Linked DNA regions of Lepisosteus oculatus. The protein of the gene in region 4 interacts with the protein of the main gene of each other region in a pairwise test. Links are inferred from orthologs where the notes say so. Each region holds a gene or a part of one and is shown on either strand. Other genes may lie near its edges. The genes, in order: gem, pak5, enkd1 and pdlim7.

The links.
Region 1: the proteins of pdlim7 (region 4) and gem interact in binary tests that used the Homo sapiens proteins (3 or more experiments, as listed by UniProt). The two-hybrid records come from large-scale screens. The link is inferred for Lepisosteus oculatus from reciprocal best matches to the Homo sapiens genes PDLIM7 and GEM.
Region 2: the proteins of pdlim7 (region 4) and pak5 interact in a two-hybrid assay, tested with the Homo sapiens proteins (2 studies listed by BioGRID and IntAct). The two-hybrid records come from large-scale screens. The link is inferred for Lepisosteus oculatus from reciprocal best matches to the Homo sapiens genes PDLIM7 and PAK5.
Region 3: the proteins of pdlim7 (region 4) and enkd1 interact in binary tests that used the Homo sapiens proteins (3 or more experiments, as listed by UniProt). The two-hybrid records come from large-scale screens. The link is inferred for Lepisosteus oculatus from reciprocal best matches to the Homo sapiens genes PDLIM7 and ENKD1.

What each region holds. Positions count from the first base shown.
Region 1 is NC_090705.1:7,493,793-7,501,112, forward strand, and holds the start of gem (GTP-binding protein GEM), read right to left. Parts: upstream 3,021-7,320; 5' UTR 2,884-3,020; intron 2,387-2,883; 5' UTR 2,383-2,386; coding exon 2,052-2,382; intron 1,803-2,051; coding exon 1,726-1,802; intron 1,421-1,725; coding exon 1,216-1,420; intron 569-1,215; coding exon 291-568; 3' UTR 1-290. UniProt on the Homo sapiens protein: Could be a regulatory protein, possibly participating in receptor-mediated signal transduction at the plasma membrane. Has guanine nucleotide-binding activity but undetectable intrinsic GTPase activity.
Region 2 is NC_090697.1:41,985,824-41,993,505, forward strand, and holds the start of pak5 (serine/threonine-protein kinase PAK 5), read right to left. Parts: upstream 3,013-7,682; 5' UTR 2,784-3,012; coding exon 2,768-2,783; intron 1-2,767.
Region 3 is NC_090697.1:65,809,045-65,816,442, forward strand, and holds the start of enkd1 (enkurin domain-containing protein 1), read right to left. Parts: upstream 3,023-7,398; 5' UTR 2,976-3,022; coding exon 2,782-2,975; intron 2,491-2,781; coding exon 2,399-2,490; intron 2,124-2,398; coding exon 1,902-2,123; intron 1,041-1,901; coding exon 868-1,040; intron 672-867; coding exon 546-671; intron 1-545. UniProt on the Homo sapiens protein: Microtubule-binding protein which regulates microtubule organization and stability. Promotes the stability of astral microtubules and facilitates the proper orientation of the mitotic spindle.
Region 4 is NC_090706.1:37,404,136-37,411,931, reverse strand, and holds the start of pdlim7 (PDZ and LIM domain protein 7), read right to left. Parts: upstream 3,015-7,796; 5' UTR 2,911-3,014; coding exon 2,881-2,910; intron 1-2,880. UniProt on the Homo sapiens protein: May function as a scaffold on which the coordinated assembly of proteins can occur. May play a role as an adapter that, via its PDZ domain, localizes LIM-binding proteins to actin filaments of both skeletal muscle and nonmuscle tissues.

The DNA.
Region 1 (7,320 bases), on a different chromosome or scaffold from region 4:
ATTACTCTAATGCTGTAGTTATTTTCATTTTAATTTTAATAAAGAAAACAGACCAGGAGGACTCTCTGCAGCCCTCTAGAGTCAGTCTCTCTATTACCTGTTACTCAATACCCTCTTGTACGTGAACGAATATCTCCAAGCAATTCTTCCATCTGTTACAGACAGAGGAACAGGAGCGGTAGATCAGAGCTGATCTGTCACACCCTCTGTTCTGGAGTTTTGTAACGCAATCTAATGTAGATTGACTTGTGACTTATAAAGTCCTTGAGATGGAAAGCCCGCCAGTGGGTTTATAACACTGAAAGATCGTGGCAAGACTTGGATTTCAGCCTGTAAGCCATGTTCTTATTGTTCTTAGCCACCATTCTGTCCAGGAATCTCTTGGCTTTCCTGGGAAGACTCTCCCTCCTCTTATTGCGAGCCATCCGCCTCTCGTTGGCCTCCTTACTGTCCCTCCTAAGCCGAACCTGTCGCACGATCCCTTCGAACATCTCTCGGACATTGTGCTGCACTGCCGCCGAAGTCTCGATGAACTTACAGTCGAATACTACTGCGCAGGCTCTGCCCTCTGCAAAAAAATATCCAAGTAAATGTAAGTGTCACCTTCAACAAGAATAAAACAGAACCAAACACTTTCAACTCCTGATATAACTATTAGGTATGAGATGCAGGTTATGATTTATGTACAGCTTTAGGTACAGTAATTATACTGTCTTAATCATTCATTATCAGTTCTCTGCAGCACAGAACCAAATTACCTATTGCTTAGTGTTCTGTTGAATAATTACATTTCAAAGTTATCTTCTTATTTAGCCAGATTTTAATTATTAAAATGTGTATGCAGGCATATGGCACCAGTATGTGACATTTCCATACAGAGAATACATAGAGATTTCAGTTTTTACTCTTATGGGACTCCTAAAGACTATTATTGATCTGTTTTTTTTTTTGCAAAAGCTAGTTTGGGTGCAAATCTCATTTCTCCTCTCCGCCACAAGCGCTCACCGTCGAAAACAAAATAAAACCTCTGCGTTAAGTTTGGGTCTCGTTCTGTCATATTGCTCCATAAATTTATCGTATGACGTTATTTTATCATCTTACGGCATCAGAGGTATTTATTAAAGTTCACAGGGTCTTGCTGTGATTACACGCTCCTTCTAAAAAAACATCAACCCCCTTTAGGGGATTTCAAAATGTTACAGGGAGAGACCTTACCTGCCACTGAGACCTCTCTGCACCGCACAAGGTCGCTCTTGTTGCCCACTAAAATGATGGGGATGTCTTCCATCTGCCTCGCTCTGCGCAGCTGGATTCGCAGCTCAGAAGCTCTCTCGAAGCTGGAGCGGTCGGTAATTGAGTACACGATGAGGTACGCGTCTCCCACCTGCATGCACTGTTCCTGACTCCAGCTGCCCCTGTCCTGCAGAAGCACAGCACAGACGTTCAGAAACAGCAAGACTCCGAGCGATCAGAAAACATGGATTTAATGGTTTGTTTTTAAAGTTTTAAAATGGCCAAAACTGAAGCTTTCGCTTTCGCATACTACTCTTGTAAAAACGATACAAAGGAAAATAACTCATTTATGCATGATAAAATAGACGGTATATAAAATGGGCAAGATGCAAATAACAATGCTTAAAAAAAACACCTGCACATCACACAGTGAAAATAGCATGGGTAGGATATATCGTATTTTATGTTATATGCTATGCTTTATTATCTTACCTGAGTGTCCCAGGTGTCCAATAAAATGATTGTCGCACATTCGCCGTCCACTGTCAGCGTTTGTTCATATGTGTCTTCTATAAATAACAAAAAGACGTTAAAACGGTTTACGTGGGTCCGTGCGTTCAAGTTATACGAATAAAGCTGTAAAATATTTAATCTCCTTCACACACAAAAAATATGTCAAAAATAAAATAATAGGGTGTTGTTCACATATAAGATCGACTGGCTTGTTTAAAACGAACGTGAATAATTTAATAACCCCGCACCCGTTTAAAGATACAAGCCCCATTGCACGGGAAAACAACGCTGATAAAAACAATGACCTCCGCTCAGGTCGCAGTCGCTGTCCATGCTGTCCTGGGCGCCCGTGAAAATGCCGGCGAGCGCCGACTTCCCGACTCCGTCCTCGCCGATGAGCACCACTCTGAACAGGCTGGCGCAGGAGTCGGTGGAGATGACCGAGTCCGAGGAGTCCGACGACCAGCTGCCCCTGCACGACTCGCCGGCGCTGGTGTAGGACTTGGAGCGGCAGACGCCGGATTGAAGCGCCGAGCTCTTGCTGAGGAGATGCTTGCCGTCGGTGGAGATACTCCAGCGGTGCTGCTGGGGCTGCAGACAGCCACTGCTGTGTCTCATGGTTACGTGAAGGGTCATCTTTCTGAAGCACGGGGGGAAAGCAACGGAATTACAAAAATATGGAATAAAAGAGTTTCTTAATGCATTTTTTCCCGTAAAAAAAAAAGATGTAATGTCTTTGAAAAAATAACACTCCACATTGTTGATCACTGAATTTACCTTCTACAGCCATGTCATCTCTTTGCAACTTTAAATCTTAAAAACAAGGAGACGTGCACGCACCCCTCAGAAGCCTTGATTTTTATTAATTAAAAATGTATCAAAATTACTCACTGTTAGAGAATAACAATAAGAATGTCTATAAAACAAAAAATAACCATGATCGCTGCAATAAAAACGTATAATTAAAACTGTGTCTAAGCTGTAAGATTTCCCAAATACAAAGTTCTTTAAGCATCTAAACCCGGTTATTAACTCGAAGATGCAATACAAAATACTGGAACAAAACATGCAGAATAGAATAATAATTGCATTGTAGTTTCCTTTACTTTTTTCCCCCAAAATAAAAACATATCTTACATTATCCAGTTAGGAGCAGCGCAAACTCCAGAACCACTTGATTGTTCGACGGTGTTTCTGCCTGGGTTTCGTGATCTGTGCGCTGGGCTGTAAATCCCAGTAGATTCTCTGCTTCCCACTAATGTGCTTTCAGCTCTTTGGGTTTATATATAGTAGTAGGGGTCAAAGACGAGGGCTTTTCCGTGACGTCATTCTCCCTTCGCTTACCAGCCAGACAACAGTGAAACAAAGACGGAGAGGGTTTCCTCTAGTCTTGTGGATGAACTTGGAATTTCGCCTAGAACATACTGTTGCTGTTACTTGAAAGGGTGGCTACGATACGACAAACGTCTATCGCTCGAAAGCACGACGACATTCCATTATCTATGGAATTTTTTTTTAGATTCACATTCGGATTGGCCCAAATAAATATCCATTCCCAGTGCTTGTCGCTGTAGGCCATACATAAATCCGAGCTAGAATACCACTGACAAAACACTCATTTTCATGCAGAAATAGAAGTAGCTTTAGTGCTAATAAGCTGTAAGACAATCTTATAGAGTTTGTCACATATGTGTCACAGGATGAAGAACAGGACAATATTTCCTAACACTGAGCCATAATATCACATCACCAGATTTATTTACTCAACTCCAGTACCTGGAAACAGGGCAGTTAGGATTTGGAAGTTCAAGGCAAAAGATCCCAGGATAAAGTATGAGATGCAATTTACGACTAAATAACCGCATGTGTTATTGACAGGTTTAGGCAATTATACGGTCCTAACCATTCATCCATCCATCTGTTTCTACCTCTTCAATCCAGAGTCACTAGAAAATGTATTAACTGCTGGACTATTCGTTTCTAACGTGTAATTCCACAGCCCCTAAACTAAAGTGTGACCAAATTAATTATATACTGACTTAACTTCTCTTAAGTTATGCACGCCATGTTAATGTAGCACTCTCGGGGTTAACGTGGGTATGCGCCCTCGCCGCTGCCGCCTCGGGTCAGCCCCCCACCGCTGGGGACTCGAACCCGGGCCGCCGGCATGACTCAACAGGGACCCAGGCAGTTGAGGCAAAGGGAAATCTCCCCTCAGCCCGACAGCTGCGGTCCCTGCTTTTCACAGGGAAGGGTGGTAACGTCACCGCGCTGGTAAGCCGGTCTCGCACGACCTGCAATGTCGGCCGTATGCGTTACACTAACTTAACTACCACCCAGCCATCCATCCTACTTCGGATCGCTTTATCCAAGACAGGGTTGTAGGGGGAGTCAGCGCCTATCCCAGAAGCATCCGGGAAAGCACAAGGCAAACAGTGGTGGTCGTGGGAGATTCTATTCTCCTACAGTGCAGAAACACTGCAAGAGAGATACGTACCTTACATGTACAGGAGCTGGGGACTCTGAAGGAGCAAGGGACTATACCCTGTGATTATCTTCGTCCAACGAGCAGACAGAACGAGCAGGTGCAGACCCAGTGACTGCAGCTCCTGGGGAGGATGTTGAAAAATGTACCTATCAAAGTAAACGTAAGCATTTAGGTTGACACATTGCTTTCCATTAGCCAGTGTGCGGAAGCAATACAAAGGACGTACAGAAGACACATAGGGTATATAGTTCAATCAAGGAATGCCATGTTAAAATGGAACAATTAGCAAGACCTTGTACGAAGATCTTGTACAAGTTTGGCCACCGTGTTTTAAAAAAGCCATTGCTTATGTGGAATCAGTCTGAAGTACAGATCTACAGTATCTTACACTCACAAGCTGAAAGAACTGAATATATTTTGTGTCAAATTTATTTTGTGAGAGAAGTCCATCAGGCTTTATTTCTATTTATACGAACATTTCTTGTATTGTTGGTAGAGACAAATAATAGTTGTATGTAAGGTTTTGTCAATGCATTTTTTTGGTAAAATGTGATCATGTTTATCATATTGGTTTTATTTTTAGTTTGCCTTTTTTAAATATAACTTGGTAAAGGTGTGACTTCAGTTACCCCGAGTCTCTTTTTTCAAACACAAGGATGGCAAGAGAAAAATGTCTTCGTCTTTATCATTTTTAAAAATACACAATGTGCCTGAAATTACATTTTAAAAATGACTAAATGATTTAGAATATATTTCTTTTGATGTATTTTACTTTTGTTGTCCCATAATGACATAATGTTTTAAGATTTTTCATTTAGCCAGTGTGCCAATTACTTAATCACAAATACCTCACTGCAAAGGGGTTGGTCATCTTTGGCTATTTCTGTCTGGAACCATAATCAAGAGATCACTCTAGAGTAAGCTGGTTATATTAAGGTCCTTAAATGTTAATTAAGGTGATTAGTTTGAGATTGAGTTGAATAAGACATGTATTAAAAGACTTTCTAAATAGATGATACATTAAGCTATTTCCACTAGCGGGTAGGTCACTTTGGGTTATGCTGAATCTGGTCCAAAAAACATCTTAACCTGGAGGTCAGTTCATTATTTTGTTAACAGTTGCATGCTGTCAAACGGGGAGAAATGTTTAGATTAAGAACAATGAATTGTGTTTCAACAGTATTCATGACAGTTCTCTTTTAAATTATCTAGTATGTTTTGAAACAACAGATCTAGTGTTTTTTACCTCCATCTTGCTGAAAAGCAGTTTTTGAAATTATTTTTTGGGAATTTGTCAGCTGTCACTGTACATTTTGGGGTTGAAGGTACAAGGATAAACTCTGAAGTGTCTGCATGGCTGAAACTATACTCGTGACAAAACATACAGATGTCATCCAGAAATGGAAGACTTTTCTGAATAATGTGCATTAAAATAAAAACAAATATGAAAGGAAATATGAAAGGAATGAAAGTAAAATTAACAACTCACCACTGGCTACTACATAGACTGACAGATCATCGTTTACGTTGCTTTATTAACATTCATTTAAGCTGCTAGTGTAAGTGGCTTTTCATTGGAAAACATGACCAGCAATGAATTATTGAAAATGGAATATGGGATATCATAGATTAAATGAGAGTAATACCCAGCCGAATCATTTATTGTATCCTAACAAACAGCCACACCCAGGGGAGAGCTCATCGATTGCTGTGGACAAATGAACTGCAATTAACACTTGCCTCTCTTTGAAGCTTCTTAGCGAAAGGTGATACAAGTTAAAAAAGCGAATGCATTTTTCAAACGCTGTCAAGAGAAAATAAAATCCATGCATGCTGTCAGAATGCATTCAGCACCTCGTGTGGCACAAGCTTCAGCCTATTTCCTGGCACTGATAAATCAGATTAAACCGGCGGAGACTTTTAAAATAGGCCATGGCTGGAGGCCACAGCTGAAATAAGAGACAATTCGAATATGAGGAAACCTATAAGCTACCGTAGCACCAAGGTGGAGGTATGGAAAAGGTGCTGTGCTTCAGAAAGGAAATTGTAACCAGTGCTTCCATTAAAAGAAAAAAAAAATACAGGTTTAGTTTAACTACAAAAACCAATGCAAAATTATAAAAAAACACCTTTTTTTCCTAGTGGGGAACAAGACAGTGAAAAAATTCACATAATTTCAAGCTCATCTCAGTTATTCCCCACCTTAAATTTGAATTTTGTGTAGCATGCGAGCCTTAGCCAAGTGTCTGCCCAGCGTGGATCGTATCCCCAGAATCAACACTACAGTCTCTGAATGAAATACACCATGTACTGCATACATACTGTACACTACACCAACTGCTGCCAACCAGCTGTTATGATACTAGATTTTATAATAAATATTTTCCTGTACTTAATCGGTTTTTGAAATTGCAGCCCTAAAACTACTACAGTATGTTCCTGCAGCACAGTGAAAGGAGATCTGTGAAATGACAGGTGATGTCTCAACTCCGCAGACTATCGATTTGCGGTTATCTTATTTCAGTCACTTTTACAGTGGTCTCTCCCCCAGAGAAAATATATCAAGGTTTCCATTAGGCTACCATTCTCCACAATGGACAGTAAATTCAGGTGCAGTCAGAGAAGTTGAAGACCTTGGCAATTAAATAGTATTGTGTCAGTAGGACCGCGATGGGAATCTATGAGTCTTTAAGTAGGTCTAAGGATGGGGGTTGTGTAGGTTTTCTTCCTTACTGTTAAGTGGATTGTTATTGTTAATTGTGGAAATTGAAACTGAAGAATCACTTTTGGCATCTTCGGTACTATTTTATATGCATAAACATGTTATATACTACAACAACCGGGACCTGAACTGTTATAGCGTGTAAGCCCTGTAACATCGTATTTTAACAAAAAAGACAAATGAACCCAAATGTTTATTTGCCATTGAAATATCTGTGAAAAAACATATTTAAATGGTTTTAACAAGTCTCTGGAGAGCCATATTTGAAAGATATTACAGATGGCTGCTTTCTATTAGATAATATTCTATCATATTTTTTACCCGTTAGAGATACAGTAGGCACTCACAGAGGTGACCCATCCTG
Region 2 (7,682 bases), on a different chromosome or scaffold from region 4:
GTTTAATATTAACATTTCCAAGAGTACTAGACAAGTTCATTTCAGAAGGTAATTCTTTATGTATCAAATGGTGATATAATCTATACACTATCTATAAATAGTACACTATCTATACTGTACATTATACAAGAAAAAGCTGCCTTTATAAAAGTTAAATATAGAAATATTCTATCAATTTTTCAGTAGAACTGGATATGAAGTAACACTATGCTCCTTAGAGGAACAAGTCATTGCCCATGTTGGTTGGTTGTAATGTTGGTCTCAAGTGACTTCACTGGTATAGCTGGTTTACTTTCTAATTAAGGATTATGTTGCCAGTAAGACTTACTAAGAATGGTAGTAACTTCTCAATAGTTTGGTAGATAAACATTGTGGAGTTTTATTTCAGTCAATAATTTTCTTCCACAAATAAAATGTGTCTCTCACAATTATCTGTATCTGAATGTCTGTTACATAAAGCCAACCTGAAAGTCAATGCATACAGTAACTAGTACTAGTAACAGTAATAAACAGTCTTTGAATTAATCTCATGCAGTGCCGTTCTTCAAATAGTATGTAAATCAGGATCATTTCCAGAGTCAGCTGGCTCAGTATCTGACTATCACTGTCAGACTGTGCTAAGAATAAACCAGAAACTTGGCTAGAACAGTCTTGTATGTCTCAGAATTTACAACACACCCGGTTCAATTGGTTAGTTACTACAATGTCAGCAATATAGTAACATTTTATTACTTAAAGGGAGAATAAACCCGTAACATTATGTGAATAAACAAATTTGATTGAATTAGCAAATTATGTAAATACATTTTAGCCTTGACCTTATAAACAAGGCAATGGTGTAGATTTGCTTACCAAATTAAATCAATTTTATGAATATTAACAAAATGTAGAGAATAACAAAATACTTCCTAAATAACCTCTGCTTTTAAAAATTGATTACAAAATTACTCTCATTTTGTGTTCCTTTGCCAAAATTGTTGCACATTAGATTTACGTAAAACTAATGGCATAAGACATGACGTGAGCAAGAAAGTAATATATTACTAATAGTTTAGTACACACAGTACAAAAAACTTAACTTAAAATTAATTTTATCATGATTTCGCACTCTAGAAGACAGCATCATAACATAAATAACACAAATATATTACCTTGAGCACTGAACACTCCCGAACACTGCTTATAATTTGTTTGCTTTTGCATTTGTTTTCATTTTAAGATCTCAACTTTGTACAAATGACTGAGAAGTAACATTGGATCAGCTAAATTTAAAATTACCAGCTGAGCCACTCAAGTGCCTATACCCTTAAAGATGTATCAGAGTCCTAATTTGATGTTACTATTTGCAGATTAGTTTTCTGAATTGGGCTATGTCATTAGCAGATTGCGACCTACAATTCCTCAAGTAGTGACTCCCAGGATTGAGTGAACTTCTGTTAGCTCATGTGGCAGCACAACATGACTTGTCACTTGCCAGGAACTTGCAAGTTTATACTGTTGCCAGCAGAAGCATCATTACTCCAGCAGCTGATGCTCACTCAACTGCAGAGTCCTTATCACAGCTATTCTGGTAGAAGGGTGAGAGCAACCTGAGCTGACTTAATTGACAGCTGCTGATTATATATATAGGAGGGGTAAAACGAATTCAAGATTACATATTGTTTTCATTTAATTTATTACTATTAGCATTGGTAGCAGGAATTACAATTTTTTATGTAATATGTCATTAAAGCTATTGAATGAACAACAGCTATTCTATCCTGATTCCAGTTGTGATAAATATAGCAAATCACATGTTTCTGACATGAGTAGTGAAAAGTTTTATAAGTTATGACTTATTTCTGATTTTTCTTTAAAGAACTATATAATTGGAACATATAAGCAAATGTTGGTTTATGAAATGGTCTTAAGAGGGCACGTTTAGAAAATGACAAAAGCTTCAACAACAATTTATAACATGCCTCAAAAATGTACTAAACAGCCATAGTGAATGTTTCTGTATGCTGACTTTCTATGCCAACAGTACATTTCTAAATATAAGTACAAATAATTTAAATGATATAATTTAACATGCCAGATGGTAGCATATCTTTTGGAATGCAAAATACTAAACTTCCAAGAGTTTTAGCATCAATTATTCATGAGCAGCTCATAGAGAGGAAGAGATCACCAAATAGCAAGTGCTGGGAATTTTAATCTCTCAAGTACAATAATTGCAAATGCATTTAAAAGAGGTGAAATAGCTATATATGCAGTGTTATAAAAATAGGTAAACCAAATAAAGCTAAAATAGTACCAAATACCAATGAACAGTGTGGACCACAGCTATATTCTACTAAATCACAATTTCTATTATTTTATTCTATTCTAATATTAGCATTGCATTGTACTAAGGTACACATGACAATAAACATTAACTTGGTTCTGAAAATTTTAAAAGTATTCAGAAGTTGTAACTTTGAAATTTAATCAATTAGAGCATGAATCTGCAAAACAAATATCTAAATAGACGCAGTTGCTCTCTATGTTGTACTGTATAGTATAGTATATTCTAGTTGTGAAACATATTCTAGTATTACATTCTTAAAGTAAAAGTTGCTAATGTTAGGATTTTCCTCTGTGGTGAGAAGCAAAATATCTATTAGTTAAATATTAAACAGGGGATACCAATATGTTTTGTTGTTGTTTTGGTGATATAAAAACACAAATCTATCAATATACCAAAATGTGCAATATGCTGAATTAACAACACTCAGAAGGTTCTTACCTGGAACATGATTCATTCTGTCATTTATGTAACCACTTCAACAGAGAGCGCTGACTCAGGTGAACCAGTCACAGTATTTTCAAAGGCAATGAGAACTGTGCTCTTGAATTAATCACAAAACATAAAATAAACATTCCTAGGGATTCGTCACAGATATCAAGAGAGTAAAGCTTTATATTGTAGCACTTGCTCTTGCACAGTCTGATAACTTCCAATGGCAATTTATCCACTGCTGCTGACACTAGCAAATTATAACAGACAAAGTAAGCTGTTGCCTTTCCATTGCAGATCTGACTGTGAGTCATGAACCAGTGGGCAGAATACCCACTGTGCACTGCAGAATTACACAAGGACTTTTCTCCCATCAGTTTTGGCCTTCAGTCATTCCCACTGACCATTTCTCTTGAATGAAAAAGTTCCCACTGCAACTTAAATCCGTCACAACTTGGTTTACACGGATCTTTCAGTCAACACAATATACTGTAGTGTATACAGCAGAAAATACAGTATTTGGCTTGTTGGCTGCGAGAACATAAATTAGCATGACCTCATGATGACAGTATAATTCATTACTAATTGTAGCAGAAGAGCAGTGCACCTGCTTCAGTCAATAACCCTGTAAGGATTTTATTGTTAATGGATTTAACCTAATGTAACTCTCTAGTGGGCACAGTGTTTTGCCTGAAGGCCGGACAAATTGACTTTAACTCTTTTTCACCAACTCAAAATCTTGCTTCAAACATGACTCTTATTAAAATCTTATTAAAATCAACAATGATGTAAATCACAACCCATTCTCTCACACCTATATTATAACATTGAATTATTTTGATAGGGTATGACATTAAAAGATGGTATAGCCCTAAAACATAGTATAGCTTTGCATACTAAAATAATACAACCTGCAGAAGGTCATATCTGAATGATGGACTCCAGTTAGCTAAAAATCTACACAGAAATAAGACATTTGAACTAGAATGGAAGGACCCAAAGAAAATCTCAAGGGTGATGCACATGTAATAGAATAAAGAAAGAACAGAACATAAGATTGTTCATCTTTGGTCTAACATACAGTATGTGAAAAGACCGACCCCAATAATCAGATACCTTCTCCTGTATTCTGTACCTATTTATGGAAAAGAAAAATCAACCACATCTTCAGCAGGTCTCTCTATTGAACCCACATGCAAAGCCTGTATTACTTTCTCTCTAACCAGGGATTGCAAACATATGCCCAGCTGGGCTGATTCAACCTGCCAAGCCCATTTATCTCATCCATTTAGTTTTTTCAGTCTAAGCTAACAGCTGGGATTAAATTTCTTTGTCTGAGCCTAAAAAGCCCACATACAAAGCAGCTGCCCTTGGTGATGCATCGGTCTTACTTATACATGTGCTGTGGTCAGTGCTCTTTTCATTCTCAACACTCCCATTTATGTTCACACATCTAGTTAGAACAGGAATATTTTTTGCACTAAATAGTTATGAAAAAAAAGACCCGAAACCTGTACACCACTTCACCTCATTCAAAATCTAAAGCAACCTCAAGCAACCTCAGTGACTGAACTACAAATGGTCTCACTGACATTAAACCTTCTGTTTTTGTTTATGTCAAAATGAGATTTTTCAATATAATAGAAGGGCCATATAAATGCTTTATTGGAGAAATATTGTTATGTGGTTCAGGATAAATTGAGTAATTTATATTGTTTCTTAGAATAGAAATGAGTGATTGATTTGTACAGGGAGCTGTTGCCAAAGAGAAATAGCAATAGTTGTAAAGTAGAACTTTTGCTGTTTTTATATAGCTGACATCTAGCATCTAGTATCCTGCATTGTGTTTTTCCTCACACAAAGTCTCTTTTAACCCTGCTTTTTGCCAATTCCATTTCCTTGTTTAAATCTCTACAAAAACTGTGCCAAATGGAAAACAAGCCAAGCTGCTTCTGACTTATCACAGCTACTGTGTTATTACTTTCTCCAAAAAGTTTTAAGGTGATGTTGATCACTAAACATACCATACTCAGAGCCCAATAATTACATTTTTTTAAAAGTGACATTATTAAGTAAGTTAAGAAGTTAAGAAGCAATGGCTGTTGACTGCATTTTAACAGGAGGTATTTTGTTTTATAATAAACATAAACATACAAAACAATTCAAATATAAAGTAAGGTGCCTTGTATTTAGATAAAATATCCATCTTGAAGTACAATTACATCAAACCTGTCCTAATGTAGCAAACAAATATGAAATCCCTGCTCTAAATTCTTTTATGCCATTAACCTCAAAATGATAAGGAAATGTCAAAGAATCTGCTACTCCATTACAATAGCAAACACGAACCACCTCTTTATATAGAGTGAATTGACCACAGAAAACTCTACAGCACTATCTGAATGATTCCGTAAAGACCCTTTAAGACACAGTCCTATGTTCCTGGATGAGTAAGACAGCCTGCCTAAAGCTGTAACTAAAAACAAATATGCCAAAATCCATTCTGTCATTTACATTTTTTAAAGCATTTCTTGATATGTAATTTCTTACTTGACACGTGTACTACAAAATTCATAACTGATTGTTCTTAATTTGATATCATATACTGTTCAGTTGACTGCTAATATTACATTAAAAAAATCTTAGACCTTGCCTCCAGATAATGATAAAAGAATATTGCTCATTGATAGGCTTTATCAGTGATAGGCTTTATCACACCATTTATAATTTTTCAGTTTTAAGACTAAATCGGCTACTCTTGCTGAATATTTTAGTAATATAATTACAAATAAAAAGAACAAAATATACATCAAACCAGAAAATGGAATGTGCTACAGTAAAAATACAAATAGTTGCTCTTTTAAAACATAATTGCATGAAATCAACACCATTGTCTTCTGCATTTGGAGGGAAAAACAGAATATTGTAAAAAAAATGTTTTAATATAAATGTTGATCCACATAACAAATTACCCTAATATACCATAGAAGAAAGGTATCTAATCTCTCAATAAAATAATATAAATTGTTATTATAAAAAGAAACACAAAAGTAATGCTGTATGTACAGTAGTTCATGGTCTACTTTTAAAAAAGAAACTTCAGAACAGCTGGGAGCTAGGCAGCATCTGCCAGATGTACTTAACCAGCAGCTAATAAAGCCGTGAAAACTGATTTACCACTTCACCATTTCACTACTATCATAAATTTAAATATATTAAGCATCCACTGTATTGAAGAAACATGCTTTAAAAAGAAAAGAGCAAGGCCTACTAATTCATCTAAAGCACGAAGCTTAATGTACAGAAATAGTGGGGTGAAGATCAATGCTTTATTGCGCTATAGACCAGTCTTTTATGGAAAGAATGCTTTAAATGTACTTCAGCAGGGGTTTCATTTACAATTATTATCAACAAATTCAACACGAACAAATTATGTAAGAAGCTTCAGTTAATAAACCAGAATACAAATTCAACAAAAAATGAGATAGAAAAGGGAAAGAGGAGAGAATTACATCACCATCCAAAAATATGGATCTTTACAGTTGGCCCTGACATTTTCCATTGTATATTCTGGACAATTAAATGATTTGCAACAGCATGATATGTACCGTATGATAGTCACCATTTATATTTTAATGCTGTACCTGTCGTATTTAAATTTTTGGCTTGGTTCTTTATTTCCTTTGCTTGCATCTCAAACATACAAAGTTTGCTAACTAGCTATCTCCCTAGCTCAGCTGCACATTTCCTTATGCTTAAGTGAAAAGGTCGTGCATCTTATTTGATGCATCTTATAATACATCTTGTGAGAGGTACTCTGCGTTAAAACACGGTGGGTGTAGAGCAATATATCGCATCATACCGCATCATACTGCATGATACTTGATACTTGATACTTGAAATATGATAACAGTATCCGGAAGAACCTTGTAAAACCACCAGGTGGAGCTAATAAAGCTTAACCTCTCATGTACAGTATTTGAGCTGTCACATGTCAAATAATAATAATAATAATAATTGCTTACACTTATATAGCTTTTCTGGACACTCCACTCAAAGCGCTTTACAGGTAATGGGGACTCCCTTCCACCACCACCAATGTGCAGCATCCATCTGGATGATGCAACAGCAGCCATAGTGCGCCAGAACGCTCACTACACATCAGCTATTAGTGGGGAGGAGAGCAGTGATGAAGCCAGTTCATAGATGGGGATTATTAGGAGGCCATGTTTGGTAAGGGCCAATGGGAAATTTTTGGCCAGGACGCTGGGGTTACACCCCTACTCTTTTTGAGAAACGCCCTGGGATTTTTAATGACCACACAGAGTTAGGACCTCGGTTTTAAGTCTCATCCGAAGGACGGCGCCTGTTTACAGTATAGTGTCCCTGTCACTTTACTGGGGCATTAGGACCCACATGGACCGCAGGGTGAGCGCCCCCTGTTGGCCCCACTAACACCTCTTCCAGCAGCAACCTTAGTTTTTCCCAGGAGGTCTCCTATCGAGGTACTGACCAGGCTCACACCTGCTTAGCTTCAGTGGGTTGCCAGTTGTGAGTTGCAGGGTGATATGGCTGCTGGATGGTTGTTGCTTGGGGACAATCTTTTTCCAATTAAGAATTTAAGTTGTATACTCTTTAGACTTTTAATAATTTTAAACTGTGTATTACAGCATGTTAATCATTAAACATTAAAAAGTTGGTATATTTTATAAAAGCAAGATTGCTCAGTTGGACAAAAGTACACAACCTTCCACATTCATCATAAATACTTTAATTATGCATAAATAGTTTATGCATCAAAGTCTTTAACTTGGTAACTTACTGTACATGGATTCTGGTTTTAATGAGCTTGTTCTTAATATAACATTAATAAGCTTATATTCTGTACTTCATAAAAAGTTATAACATTTTATCCTTTTCTAAG
Region 3 (7,398 bases), on a different chromosome or scaffold from region 4:
GGCCCCTGAGTGGCTCACCCATTACAAGCACCTGCTGGAGGCACAGCTGAGCCTCATCTCGCAGTCTTCTCCGGCCTAGTCTGTCATAAGCCAAGTGAGACCGGAACTCACAGTTGGCTAGGTGCTGCTGGCATTCGGCCGGTAACCGCAGCTTGCAAAGAATCTGTGATCTCTGGGTCCTCCCAGAAACCTGGGGGCTGGCAGTGAGAAATGTAGTGCCCCTGCAATCACCCCTCCAGAAAAACACTATGTAGCTCACAGTGCACCAGGAGGCCAAGACCAGTGAGTGAGCACATTCCTCTCTCATCGGAAATGCAGAATGTGCAGCTGATCATAACTGAAATTCGACATAAGTAAAATCATTTACAAAATGCACATATTTGCTTTATCTGCTTCAGTTTGTACAAGAGCCTGCAGCTGGTAAAACCAGGAGTGGATCCGACTGTGAAGCAGACCCCTGCACACAAAGGGATAGATACACAGAAAAAGAAGACACTCCGCGGCCCTCCTCTCTGTTCTCCAGACCCTGCCTCCCCCTCCCTAACCTCAGCATCCGCGTCAAGGGTGGGGGGCCCAGGGGAGGGGCTGCGCCGTGGGGCTCCTGCACTTCCACAGCGCGAGTGAGCCTTCAGGAAGTTCTGGCACTCGGACCTCTTGGGGGGCGTCGTCTCCTGGGAAAGACGGGGATGAAATGTGAAATGTCCATTTCGCAGAGAGTGACAGAAGAATCGTTGCCCTGTTAAGTGGCCGGTACAGAGCGCCGCCGTATTGAGCTGAGCAGTCCCTGGAGCAGGGAGTTTCTCTGGGAGTTTCCGAGCCCCCAAGCTTCTGTTAACCAACAGTGCTGTCCTGCACCACCAGCCTCACCTGCAGCTGGGTCATGACCTTGGACGGCACTGCCTCGTATTTTGGGGACCTCCACAGCGCCTTGACGGGCACAGGCCGGGCGCCCTCTTTCTCGGCCTCTCGCTCCCTGCAGCGGCGCTGGATCTCGCGCAGTCGCCGCACGTTCTCCTTGCCGTGATCCCGCGGCTCCTTCTCTGAAGACACCACAGAACGCACACGTGGGCTCGGGATTTAGGACGAAGCACTTCTATACCCGGCCTGAAACACTCATTGCAGTGCGACGCCGGCCCTCCAATTGTTTTGAAACAGAAATGATTAAGACAGCACAATTCCAATATAAAACCGTACCAGATGACAATTCGTTTTTACACAGACTCTGCTATTAACTCATCCATCCATTCTTCCATTTTCTATGGAGGCAAGATACACCCTGGGCAGGACGCCAGTCCATCGCAGGGCACACATACACAGACACGCACACACTCACACCAGGGCCAGGCAAACTCGCCAGCATGTCTTTGCATGCAGCATGAGGAAACCAGAGCACCCAGAGGAAGCCCACATGAACCCTGGAAGAACCACTGCGCTACTGTGGCACCTGCTATTAACTCGTACTGCACAATTTGCATTAGACGCTTACTTGTTTCCCTAACTCCTTCTATAACAATATATACACTCAATAATCAAAATATTGGAAAACCCCACCCGATTATACGGCATCCCATTCTGAAAAGCAAGGACAGCCTGCAGCACATATTCCTCAGGAAATATCAGGAAATATTTCCAGCCCAATCACATCCCATTCTTCCAGCAAGATCATTTTTATTTGCGATGATGATTAAGATTTGTAGGGCCAGCATATCAGTAAACCTGTATTTCCAAGAGGAAGTGAGATCTGGGCATTGTTCTGGTTAGGGGGTTAGGGATCGTGATGGGAATACTTCTCCTGCTCCTCAAGCCTCACGCTGACCATTCACACGAATCGGGGCTTCCAACACTTTGACAAGTGTGTCGGATCTGATAAACAGGATATCAGAGGGAGGGAGTTTATTTACTGTGTTTTGGGGGATCTGGGTGCAGAGAGACCCCTTCCAGCTGCAGCAGATTTCCAACGACCCCTCGCTGACCCCTCTCGAGGATGTGCATGGCGTTGGGGTGCACTCGGGGGGGAGGAGGGGGGCGTGCGCTGTAGCAGCCAGGGTGCAGCGAAGGGTCAGGGGCTAGAGGGCCGGACAGAAAGGTCAACTTCAGGTCATTCCCCTCTAGCCTGCCTCGCGCTGTCAACAGAGAGCAAGAGAAACACAGAGATTATAACCACAGTTCGCATAAGTACAGGTGTAATAACCAATTACTGCATATTCCAATGTGAGTGAGCTAAGTCAAGACAAAGAGGTTGAGGAAGAGGAGGAGGATGGAGGCACAGAAAGATGTTTAATGACTGATGAATTATGGGACGGCCACACATGAACTAGGGAAGCACACAGACTCAGGCGAATCCGATGTGAGTAGACGGTCACTCAAGTCCCCAAGACTGGACTAGATAGTGTCTTACCAGAGGCCGGACGTCTGTAAAACTCAGGGAAGAGGGTGGGATCGGGAGGGATCGGTCCAGAGATCCGTGATGGGCCTTCACACATCGTCCCACTGCTCGGGACAAAGCCAGAGAAAATCCACTATCAGGGCATGGCCTGAAATCCCCAGCTACAATTCCTGCATCATTCCCGAGCTTAAGGCACGAGCAGTGCCAGGAGATCTTTCTGAGACTTGGGCCTGCAATTCTTCTTTCTGCTATCATACAGACAAAACACAAGTCCTTCTGAGCCCTGAAAGTAATGTGTTAATATTTACAACATGCCCGATTTCCACATAATACTGTGAATGGCTAACCTTTGAAGATAAATGCACTAATTTAAGTAAGTGGGGGATGCCACAAACCCTGGCTGCTGCCCTGTATAGTGGAGAGACCCCAGGTTCAGGGTCACACAGTGACAATCTGACACACACATATCCCCGGACACACGTGGCCATGCTTCGACTGGCTCAGACATACTCCCACGCTGAAGTGCCAGTCGGGGCACAGCTATAAAAAGAAAATATTCAAGTAACAGACAAGATAACACATCAGGCATGTTGTACTAAATCAGACTAAATGTGGTGTCAAATCATACCGGCTAAAAAAATCTAAAGACACAGAAAACATTGTAGAGACTGTTCTGGATGCGTTTCATTTTTAAGGCTGGATTACTGAAGGTTTATAAAGTAGTATTATGGATTTCAAGCTGAGCACAGGACACACTTTACGCAAAGGGTGGTGGGAGAGTGGAACAAGCTGCTCAGCCATGTGGTTGAAACCGATACCTTCTTTCAATAAACAGCTGGATGAGATCCTTGGATCAATCCGTCACTCACTACCAAACAGGCCACATTATTAATAATAATAACATCACTTTATTAACCCTCTACAATTTCTTGCATTAGAAATTATCTTTTTGCATACCCCAGCTTGCTCTCCATGAGACACACAGATAGGGAGAGAGTCTGGGGTGACCTCCTGTAGTTTGTAAACTTTATGTTCTTATGTTTTATACCTCAGGCGTATTCTAACGTTATACTTTAATTCTGACAGTAATTGTTTTTAAATGGATGTTACCACCCTTACTAATGATACATAATCATTTTAGTAGCAGTAATAGTTATAATAGGAACAGTCGTATAATTCAGTTTATACCTGTATGCGAGACTCGCAGTTTATAACTCTCTTCTGTCTTAGACACGAACAACTATAAACTCACCCAGGTGGACTCAGAACAGTAACAGTACAATACTGACTCCAGAATGAGTCATGGGAGACCGCAGCAAATACGATACGTGATATTTGTTATCAGTAAGAATTGCAATTGCTTTGAAAAGAGATGTGGGATTTAAAAGGTGAAATTGACATCAGTCCTGTTCCGCACACCCCCACAGACGATTTTTTTCACGTTTCTTGTGCACGAAAGTGAAACCGCCGAAACACACTGCAACCGGCACGGTATCATTTGGAGACGACCAGCGAGCAACCGGACAGGAGAGCCGGTTGACTGTGGACAAGACACAGACATCGACGAATGAAATTTAAAAATGATGCGAGGCTCTGTCACTGCACATAAAGGTTAACAGCCATCATATCAGTGGTCATTAATCTATAACGTTTTAAAATACACGCCTCTCAGAAAACGCGTGACATTTTACCGAACTTGCGGCCAGAACATGTTAACTTTTTGGCGACATAAAATTAGCAAAACAACAGGAGTCAGAATCAATATAAAGAGGAATCGCTCCCTATTTGTAAACGCTTTTTAGCCAAACAGCGCTTTTTCGTTAATTATTTAAATCAAAATAAGCTTTACTGCATTACCGTTTCTTTATCCTTAAACTCAACAGAAAAACCGTCTTCTTCTGCAACGCAATTTGATGACATCACCCCGCTTCATCTCCCAAGCGGAGCAAGCCTCACCATGGCAACAGCACGACATCTGGTGACGTAGTACGTCACGCCATTGTAGGCGTGCTTGGCATATCCTTGAGACGGAGCTTGAGGCGCTGCAGTCCAACCGGTTCTGTGTGCGCCTTCAATGTTCAATGTGCTAATCTCTTACCGTGTACCGGATCTAAGTACCGTGTCTACGGAAAGAGCTTCGAAAATGACCATTTTAAAAATGTAAGGAAAGAAATTATGAAAATAAGTGAATAACAATAAAGCTGTGCATGTATTATAGTCTCTTAGTGTGACTATAGTGGTGCTGTATTTCATCGTGGGTGGGTCTACTCGTTATGAGGCTCTCCGTCGCTAAACGGTATATTAAGCTGTAAATGTTACTCTAATCTCGTATTGTATCCTGAAATCAACCTCACCTTGTAACACGAGGCTCTTACTCTGCTACACTCTTACTTTAACCTCGTTTCACAACTTCACAACTTTCCGGTACCTTTGACACTAACCCTTATTATAACACGTTTTGGATAGATACCTCATTGATCCCGTGAGGGACATCGCAGTGCAACAGCAGCTTAACGCAGACAACACAGCAACAGTGTAACGAATGATACAACACACGCAATACAATCAGTACAGTGAGCAGTGCACCAAGAAGAGTTACTCACAGTCCAGAACATACAAGACACAAAAGTTCACAAAAATTGAATTGCACAATATAAATATAAATATAAACGTATTGCACAAGCCCCTGGCATATATTGCACAAAAAACGGTTGTAAACAGGAAGAACCAGATGTAGCAGTTTGCTGTCCAGTCCAGAAACAGGTCACTGTCAATGTTGCCCCTGCCCAGACGCAAAGTGGATGCGAATTGTTTTGATGTTAGTGCAACGTTTAGCGTAACATTATCAGTACGGTGCCGTAGCCCCTCGCTGTAAACTGGTTTTTCTGCAGTAGTTCGACTGTACTTCACACAGATCCCCTTTGTAACCCGTTTTATTCTGCAGTAGTCTGACTACTTTATACAGATTCTCACTGAAACCTATTTTTTCTGCGGTAGTTCCACTGTACTTTCACAGGACTTTCCACAGTTCCACTGTGCATGGATCCCTGTGTCTCAGTAATAGTGTCAGAAGACACTGTGTACCCGTTGGTTGCGCTGTCCTTCACATGAGTATAACATATAAAATAAGTCCTGGCTGCTTGCTCATGAAAGATGATGGGTGCTACCCCCCAGTGCGCTGGTTAAATCGTGCTATGGGTTTCAACAGACTGCCCCCCCCCTAAATGTCTCCCTCAATCCGATGGGAGGAGGTAATTACCCCAATCAGCCGTGTAGTGGGGCTGATGGCGGCTTCAGGCAGGCAGGCAGAGAGAGAGGGGGATATCACGAGTTTATCTGGGGAAGACAAGCTGAAAAGTTTATGCAGACAAGCCGCTCACTGAAGCCCAAATCATTATGGATTCCTGCATGAATCCCACCTACGGATGAAATCTCTGAAGGGATTCTGCCCTCAAACTCTTAAAACGTTTTGCCCGTCTGAGTGTGTATTTGCAGGTGTGTCTGTCAGCATACTGGCCTCGTTTGTCAGACGCCTTGTCTGCTACGCTGCTCCCTATTTTCCCAGCGTCCCTTACCCTCTCCTCCGAGCTCGAAGTGTGTGTGTGTGAGAGAGAGAGAGAGCCGGCGTGTGTCGCGCCTGCTCAGTTTCTGTGGCTGGGTTTCTCCTTCACAGTGCCCTCCTCTCTCACACACTGACAGATCTGCTGCGCGCCGCGCCTCACATCCCGCAACTGAATAACGGTAAGACACCGGCCGGCCCCGGAGCTGGCCCTGGGCCACAGCACCGGCAACAGGGTGGGGGAGAGCGGGACACAGGGCCGGTGAGCGCCGGCCGGGGTGCGAGCCCCGAGGAGGAAGAGGCTTGACCGCCGGGGCCTTTGTGCTCGTCTAAGCGAGTCTCGCCGGCCTACGTGCTGGTTGCGTGGTGCGTCGGATTTCACTTTCAAAATCTGCCGTGGAAGTTTGTGGGTCTGTCCTGACGCGTTACAGCTAACCTTTATTAACCTCAGTGCAGGGGAAGGGTGTTCTTTCTCTTGTTTTTTTTTTTAAACTTAAGTTGTATCATTACGCTTCTTGAAGGGAGGAGGGTTGGTTTCTGAATGACAGCAGTGCGTTGGGGGTCACAGAAGCTGTAGGTGATCCGATTCGTGATATCATTATAGCTACAATTATACAAGACATTGCTGTAGCTTTGCTACATATCAATCGGTTGGGGAAGTTTATATTCTGTAGTGTTTTTTTCATTAATGAATAATACTGATATATTATTACACGTGTTTAATAAGCTGCTGCTGCTATTGTTTAACCACACAATCTAAAACGAATAATACATGGTAGTTCGATATGTGCCTAGCATGCATTTAGGGGCACTTGTTGCCTGCTAATTAAAATTCAGATATAGTTCGGTGTTGTACAAATACGTACAGTATTTATTTAAGTGGGTATATGACAAATTGCATATTTAATGATACGGGGTTGAAGCCTTAATTCTCTCTTATCCTGGGGGAACACTTTGAAATATAAATGCCTATAACGCTGTGTTTTTTTGTGCTGGGAAGGGAAAGTGAAACATTAAAGGCTTGTGAAGCAGACACGACCCTGTATAGCTGGGAGTGAACTAACGCCTACAGTACAGCATGAATCCTCGCACGTTTCCACAGAGCAGAGCTCCGTCTCGCCGCTGGACACTGCCAGCGATCCTTGAGTCCACATCGACGCAACTCCGTAAAGGCGTGATTTCGTTTTACTGATCGGGGTTTCTCGTGTACGTTTTCAGAAAAAGAAGAAAAAAAAACGTTTAGTGTTACGGTTCATCGAAACACACAATGGAAGCTTCCACATTCGCTTGTACCCACGGAACAGTGCTCGCGCGTGCCCTGGAGCGTGGACGACGCCAGATCCGACTTCACGTCTAGTACGATTCCCCGGGTGTGGAAGTACGGGACACGGTTCATGTTCCGGGCGTTTTAACACTGCACACTTGCTCGCACAGAGACAGGGAGGGTGCGGTT
Region 4 (7,796 bases):
TTCTGTCCTGGTTTTCTTACCTGGCTGATTGTGTTCTGAAGCTGAACCCAGAATGTGCTTACAAAGTTTTCTTACAGGTCCCAGACAATCTCCGACTAAGTATTTAGGAAATTAATATATAAATTGATTTCATTAGCATGTGCCTCCTTAAAACAGCTCCTATTATCCCTACAAATTCAACTGATATACAGCCGAACGTTCAAGAGGTTGTGCTTGAGATTTGCAACGTTCCTTGAAAAACTAGGACTGCTCTCTGACCCCGTTTTCTTCAATTACTTGATCCTGCAAAATGTACATATAAATTTGCATTTGAAACTTCACACAGATGTGATACTACACAAGAAAAAGACTCAAGTTAGCCTTTGTGTCGATCCTGATCTTCATTAGAATACGTTGGCAAAGCCCAAATCAGCAGACTGCAGCAAGTTCAATTCACAGGGGACAGGAGTTAGCATTGACGTACAGTAGAATACTTTCAAAAAGCAGACAAGCCACAAAGTTCTGGATATAACGAGCCCTTTTAGAATATCATACAAACATCCCCATATTTAAGGAATTACGGTAGTCTGATCAAATAAAGGCGAGTTTCAATATTTCAGCATCAGACGGGTAGAACAAGGGTCTTAACTGATCAATGTTATGCAGATGGAAGAACAATACCCTGCAACATTCCTAGCATGAGTGTCAAATAACACAGTCCAATGTACACAATTCCTTTCAAATATAAATGGCTAATTCAACAGTAGTATATATATATATCACATGGCAAAACCCTCTTTCAACAAAGGCTTCATAAAGGTCAGACAAAAAAAAAAAAGACATCCAAAGGATTTAGCACAATTACATCTTATATTTTTATAAGCAGTAAGCCGTTATATGAAAAGCAATTTTCGTCTTCTCACTACAGAATGGTGCAACTAATGCCAAGAGTACCACCAGCTGAACACCAACATGCACACACACCCACAACACAGTACATGGTCCAGATCAAAAACTCATTGGAACTGCCCTCTACACGAGAGAAATTCTGTAGCTGAGCCTTAAAACCTACAATACTCACCGCAACTCCAGCTGACTTTTCTGACACACTTCTGCAGTCACTATGCTAGTGTGTTAAACCATGAAAACCTTTCCTCATATGTGTCAAACTCAGAAAACTGTGAGCGAGGGTAGGTCAGGAGAGTGAAGGTTTGTAAAATACACTATTGGCATGTAGCATGGTAGTGTTTCTTGACCATGTTACAGAGATCTGATTAGCTGTCGGGCTCAGGGAAACGCATTGATTTTCACTTAACCTCAGTAATGTAGAACCAAAAATGTGAGAAGAGCTTTGACCACTGAGGACAAGGCATTCAGCGATGTTTACGAGGTAGAAGGGACCTCCCATATATCCAAGAATAAATTCTACATTCCTACATTTTTAGGATATAATAAAAAAAAACCTCTGGTCTGAAAATTACAAATGAAAACTGTACAGGCAGCTGTATGGAGTAGAGGTTGATGCTCTGTGTTTACAGCAATATAATGTATATGGATTTCAAGGCTAGGTGAGGCACTACTGTACTTATAAAGTAAACATCAGCAAAGTACACCCCTCAAATTACACCAGTAAAATACCTCACTGTATAAATGGGTACGTTAAAAAACTGTGAGGCGGATAAATGACCAAAATCAGGTTAGCATACCTGCATATACCAAGATCTATTTCAGAACAGAATGCCATTCACAGAATTCGCAATATCTTTCCAAGATAAAGCATTACACAAAATAACGCTGATCTATACAATACAGAAAGAGATTCTCTTTTCAGAGGGCACTAACGCTAAAAAAACACCTGCCCTGTCCTAAGGTGATAATGCAATTCCAAGTTCGTTAGTGAAGTTTTACATTGCTCGGTTCGGACAACAATGAAAGTGTTGTCACGTTTCATATATTGAATCTGTAGGACTTTAGATCTTTATTTTTGATCGACGTCACCATAAAAACACTAATGCACTTTTTTTGGTAGGGGGGTGACAATTATATACAGTACCATCTATTCCTTTTCATACATCTTAACCACAGCAATATAGATACTAAACAAAACCACATCACTTACAGCCCCCCCCAAAAAAAGACATTAACAAATAATATCGGTGACCTGACGAGTGTTTGATCATTTCAGGTTAAATGTTGACCCAAGCAAATAGCTAAGCAATTCTTGAAACGATAGAGGAGATCTCGATTAATACATAACGTTTGCTTGCTGGCATGCAATCAGAAATTGACACTTTTCTTGTCACATTAAAACTATTTGAATAATATTCAAAATGATATCAGTGCGTTTATTTTGGGACAATGTGTGCACCAACTTAAAAAAAACGCAGCATAACTTAACATCCACGAACATGAAATATCCGCTCTTTTAGCACTTGAAAAAAATGCTAAGTGCACGATCTTGATTCGCCTTTACACGAACGGATTCACAGCCAGCTTACAAAAGGAAACTCTCAAGAAGCTTTCGTGATCACAAATCTCGACCCACCCAAATTATCCACGCAGCGTTGCTCAGACTTGCAAAGATCGCGTTTGATTACTTAGGTCTAAACGCAAAAAAACCGCAGATAACGTCCTTATGAAAACACATCTCGTCTGTGCAGAAGGATTCAATCTCTGAGCACCCTGCCCTATAAAATTTAAAAGAACAATTTACAAAAAGTTGAATTAGGAAAAGAGTGGACCACTCCCTCTTCTCCGCCTCCAAACGCCAACGCCAAACAAAACTTCCATTAAAAAACTTTTACTGTATAGATATTACCAGAGCCATGTAAACGTTTTTTATGAGAACAGAACACAAATATTGTGTAACTCGCAAAAGCAATCGTGTTATATGGCAGTTACCTCCGGAGCCTCTTTCTGGCTGGCGGACATCGTTAACGATCTTTTTTTTTTATCTTTGCACTTTAAAAAAGTTAATTACTATGTGCTAAGTTTTCCTTGTAAGCCAGTCCAACTGTATCCACGAGCAGCCGTAAACTTGCCTTCTGTTTCCTTTTATAGACAAGGAAAAACCTACAGCCCGGGTGACGTCATTGGGAGCGCTGCCACGAATTCTCCGCGCTCCATCTACAGGTACAAGCTGGCATGGGACTGCGATGCGCTGCGCGGTGCTGCGCTCTCCCATCTCGCCGCTCAACACACACGTCTGACCTGCAGCCAGCTCGTCTTTACAACTAAGCACCTAGATCGTTTTGCTCGACGAATCCCAGCTGCGGAATAAAAGTGGTGTATAATTTGCAGCGCTCGACTTTTCCATGACCCCCCATGCTAATCATCGACTTGAGAGTGCTGGTTTTATGATGTCCCTGAACCCAGCTGAAATGTCATGTTGGCATTTTATTTTAGCTTTCGGGATCCCAGTTGATTTCTGTAGTGTTAGCAAATGTTTGTTTTGGGTTTTTTGCTAACAATACAGAACGTTTTTACATTTACAATTTACAGTAAATTTAAAATTCTTTGAATGTCTTCAAACCCAAACCACGTTGACCCACGTTTATTCTGTACGAACCCGAATGCTCTTGTTTACTTTTCTCTTTTACTTTTTATTGTGCTTTTCTTTATCACTATGTACAGCACCCTGGGGTTTGGAAAGGCGCTATATAAATAAATGATGTATTACTGTTAGTCTTGATCTTCCATCATTTCTGTATAATAACATGACACCCTAACCAATTCAACTCCACTGCTGTTTGGCAAGAGCAGCGTTGACCACAATACTTCAGTCACTGCAATACAAAAGACAATACGGTGCTCTGGAATCAGTCCAGAAAAGAGCAACCACGCACATTCCTGTGGTTCAGGGAACTGTCCCTCCCTGACAGGCTGAAGGAACTGAATCTTCTTAGTCTTGAACAGAGAAGAAGGAACAATGTGATTCACAAATTTTGAGCCCCCAAAGACCACGACAAAGCCAACCCAACAGACGTCTTCAGAAGCAAGAGGGGAGTATTTGAATATAAGGACACCGGTAGGAATTATTGGAAAGTTCATGTCACTGAAGCCGACGAAGACCCTGGCTTATTTCACAAAGCAGTCGGATGTGATCCTCCAACCAGCAGCCAAGCAAGTTAGACTGGTTGAATGGCCGCCTTTCTTTTCCTTTGTTATGTTCTTGTGATACAATACCAGTGTGCGCAGGGAGAAGCTAGTTACAGTATGAATCCACAACCTTAATCACTATCCTCTGCCACTAGTTCATTATGTAACTTCTTTTAAAGGTGCTTATGTATTTTATGCATACAGAATCATTCCTATAAAAATTCCGAAGCGTGCTTTTTTTAGATACAGCTTTCCTCATCACTTGCCAGAAAGCCCTCCCAGGTAACAAACATTTGTCAGTTATCCGACAGTGAACAGAAGACTACTTTGGGTGAAATGCAGCTCTATGTTTTCTTTTGCTGCCTTGAGTTAAACTCCAGTGAAGTCTGTTTTTTTTTTGTTCTTAAAAAATGTACCTAGAAAATAAAATTGAGCATCCATTTTTTGCCAGATTATTTCCTCCTCATGTTCATCAACTAAAATACCTAATATTATCAGAGTTCAAATCAATCTATAGTGTACTGTATTTACTAACACCACTGCCTCTTTGATATAAAATAAATTAATGAGCTGTTTGCTACAACAAAACATCAAACACATTTCAGCTTCACTAATGAAAAAGCAACAGAAACAATCAGATTCTTCCTTGGGCCAAAAACATGTTAAAATCTGGAACGAATCGGTTCCGAACGAACGAACCGCAGAAAATAAAACCCAAGAAAAATCAAGTCACACTTTGGAATTCCCAGATTTATTTCAAATCAAGATTTTGAAATGTTTCTTTGAACCAGGAATTGCTTGATCTTTGTTTATGTGCTGAACACAGGTCTTTGATCTGAAGAATGCTTTATCAGACAGGAAAACTATTCAATACAGGTCTAGCGGAGTTCTTTTTCTGTGCGCTAGAAAGTGCCCATATAAGGAGATCACAGATCTAAAAAGCTGCAGGAATGAATCTACCTAATTATCACTAACCTGAAGCATGGAACAAGCCGGCTCTCTGAAAAGGAAATGTTTATGTAGATTTAAGCATGGCTGCCAAGAAAAGACAAACAATGTAGAATTTAAAAAAAATCTCAGGAATCACTACACTATATAGTTCTCCACTTGGTGCGTCCAAAGGAACAATTGTTATTCCATGCTAGAAACGTAGTGTTGTAGGAAAACTGTTTGCATAATTCTTAATATTTAGGGCAGCATTGTGGCATAGTGTTTGTTATTGCTGGCTTTTCACACTAGAGTCCTGTGTTCAATTCCAGACCTGGGGTGCTATCTGTGTGGAGTTTGTATGTTCCCCCTCCGGGTGCTGCAGTCTTCTCCCACAATCCAAACACATACTGGTAGATTCATTGACTTCTGGGAAATTTAGCCATAGGTGTGATTCCGCACTGCCTTTTGCCTTTGCACTGAAACTGAAAATGCTGCCACAGCTGAATTTTGCACACAGCTGCTATCTAAACGCTGGTTGAAATTATTGCTGCTGTGCTGTTGCTTTCTCCAAGAATTGTGACGTCATCCTTTTTGTCAATTTTGGGGATAAATGGTAACATCCTTTGATGCCTTTCATGGAAGCAAGTACAAATCCTGGTTATGGACAATTACTGTTCTTTATGACCCAGTGGAGGTATGCTGCATAAAAAAACAACAGTGTCGTGAACAACAGAGCTAAGTGCTCCAGGCTCAGGTCTAGGGACCAAAGCACTCTGTGAGAGACCTGAACATTTCCGAGCTCCTTAGAAGGCACTCCAACAGATCCAGCTGTAGGGTGCAGTCAATTCTTCCATCCCTGGTTAACTATAGGGTCCCAATGCCCTCCTGCACACCCACGATCAAGATGATGAGAGTAGACGAGAGAGCTGTTAGCTTGATGCGCTTTACAGAAGCGACTTAACCTGCGAATGATAGGTTTAAATAAACAGGGCTCCGAGTAACCTATGCAACTGAACTGCATTCTAGATTATAGCGGCTGCCGTGCAACAAAAATTAACCATTGTTCAACTTTCTACTTTTTTTAGAATCAAAACATTAAAATGTGCAGCAACGGAGAGGATTCCCAGTGTTCTGAAAAAATTATAACGAATGGCATCTTTATTTTGTATAAGTTGTATTCAATTAGTTTCAACAATCTTCACCCCAAGCTAGTTCCTGTAGGTATAGGGCAATAAACTGTTCAAAAAGAAAACCGATCATTTCAACTGGGAGTACACTTGAACTTAAGGTCGTTCACTATTTCTGAATTCTAAATGCACTCACAATTTGAAACGCAGTGTTGTTGAATTTTTAGCATCTTATATAAAACCCATTCTAACATGTTAAATCAATAGAGACAAAAATTCAGCGGTTTCATCATGGCCAATAGACAAATCAAACCTTGGCTTCGCTGTTTGACATGACTAGAGACATCTAGAACATCTGCTTATTGTTTCCTATTCATAGCTCAGCGGGTACCTTTAGGATACGGTATTTTATTTCTGTAACAGCGGGCTAAACATAAGACATATCTCGTGTATGCCTTCATGTACTTGTTAAAAGAAAGAAATGAAAAGTATTTAATGTAGATTTATGTACATGACTATTTTCAGAACAACTTAATTCAGTACAAAAACGCCCAGAGGCTCTGGGCTCTATATGACTGTAACAAAATCAAGATCAATAGTTTGCGGAACTTCATTTTTTTGTACATTTTGTATTGTGCTGTCTCCATCTCCTGGCTACCGGGAGTAATGCAGAAGAGGAGATCACTTTACCATCGCCAGAACTAAAAACATCGGGTGTTTGAAAGAATGTCACCCTTAGATTATTTCCGTGTATTGGAATATTACTTTCTGTATTCGATACAAAATATACAAAATTAATCTCCAGCCCCTCCAGTTATTGAAGTTAAAAGAGGAGGCGTGAGATGGTGTTGTTCTGAATTTGTTGAAACGTGAATTTCTGCGTGGTGGAGGTTCCAGCTACTTTTCCAAACCTACCCCGCTTATATGAATGAATTACCTCCAGACACTCCTTTAATGTCTTACCATTCCTAACAGCGCTCTTTCCCGTTGCCCCAGTGAAACAGAAGGACTTTCAGTCCAACCCTGCTAAACAGCTCCCTCTGTTGTGTATGTCGTTTCTCTTTTTGCTCGTTTACAGTTGCTCCTGCCTCGATGATTTTAAATGTCAGTAAATATTGGGAAGACACTTTTTTTCTTACGAAACTTGGGCAAGTACGCGCCTCTCAGTAATCCTGGCTGTAATGTAAAACATGTTGGCGTATGCTTTGGGATTTTAACAGGCCAGAAATGTGCTACCACAGGGTTATTAACCAAAATGCTTCAAGTAACAGCAGTCCTTCGGTATTCATAATTTTGATTAATATGTATAGACTCTATTAGAAAGAGGAAAATGTTAATAACTAACAACGATGATTAAAGCGAAGTGATTAAAGGGTGAGCTCATTGATTGTTTATTCATGTAGAGACAGGTTTAAAAGTCTAATAACATATTGACTTCCATTGATTGTGTAAGCTCAACATTAATCTGATCTAATTCCAAACTTCCAGCCAGACGAATTCAAAGCACATCAACTCCACTCAATTCCACATCTTTGCTTGGAAGTGCTTCAGAATCCTGATGTTTCCTGGCGATAAGCCACATCCGGCCTAAATATATTTAGAGTGTAAGTGTTGAGTTTCATTAATCTCACAATTATTGCCAATAAACTATTCATATTCGCT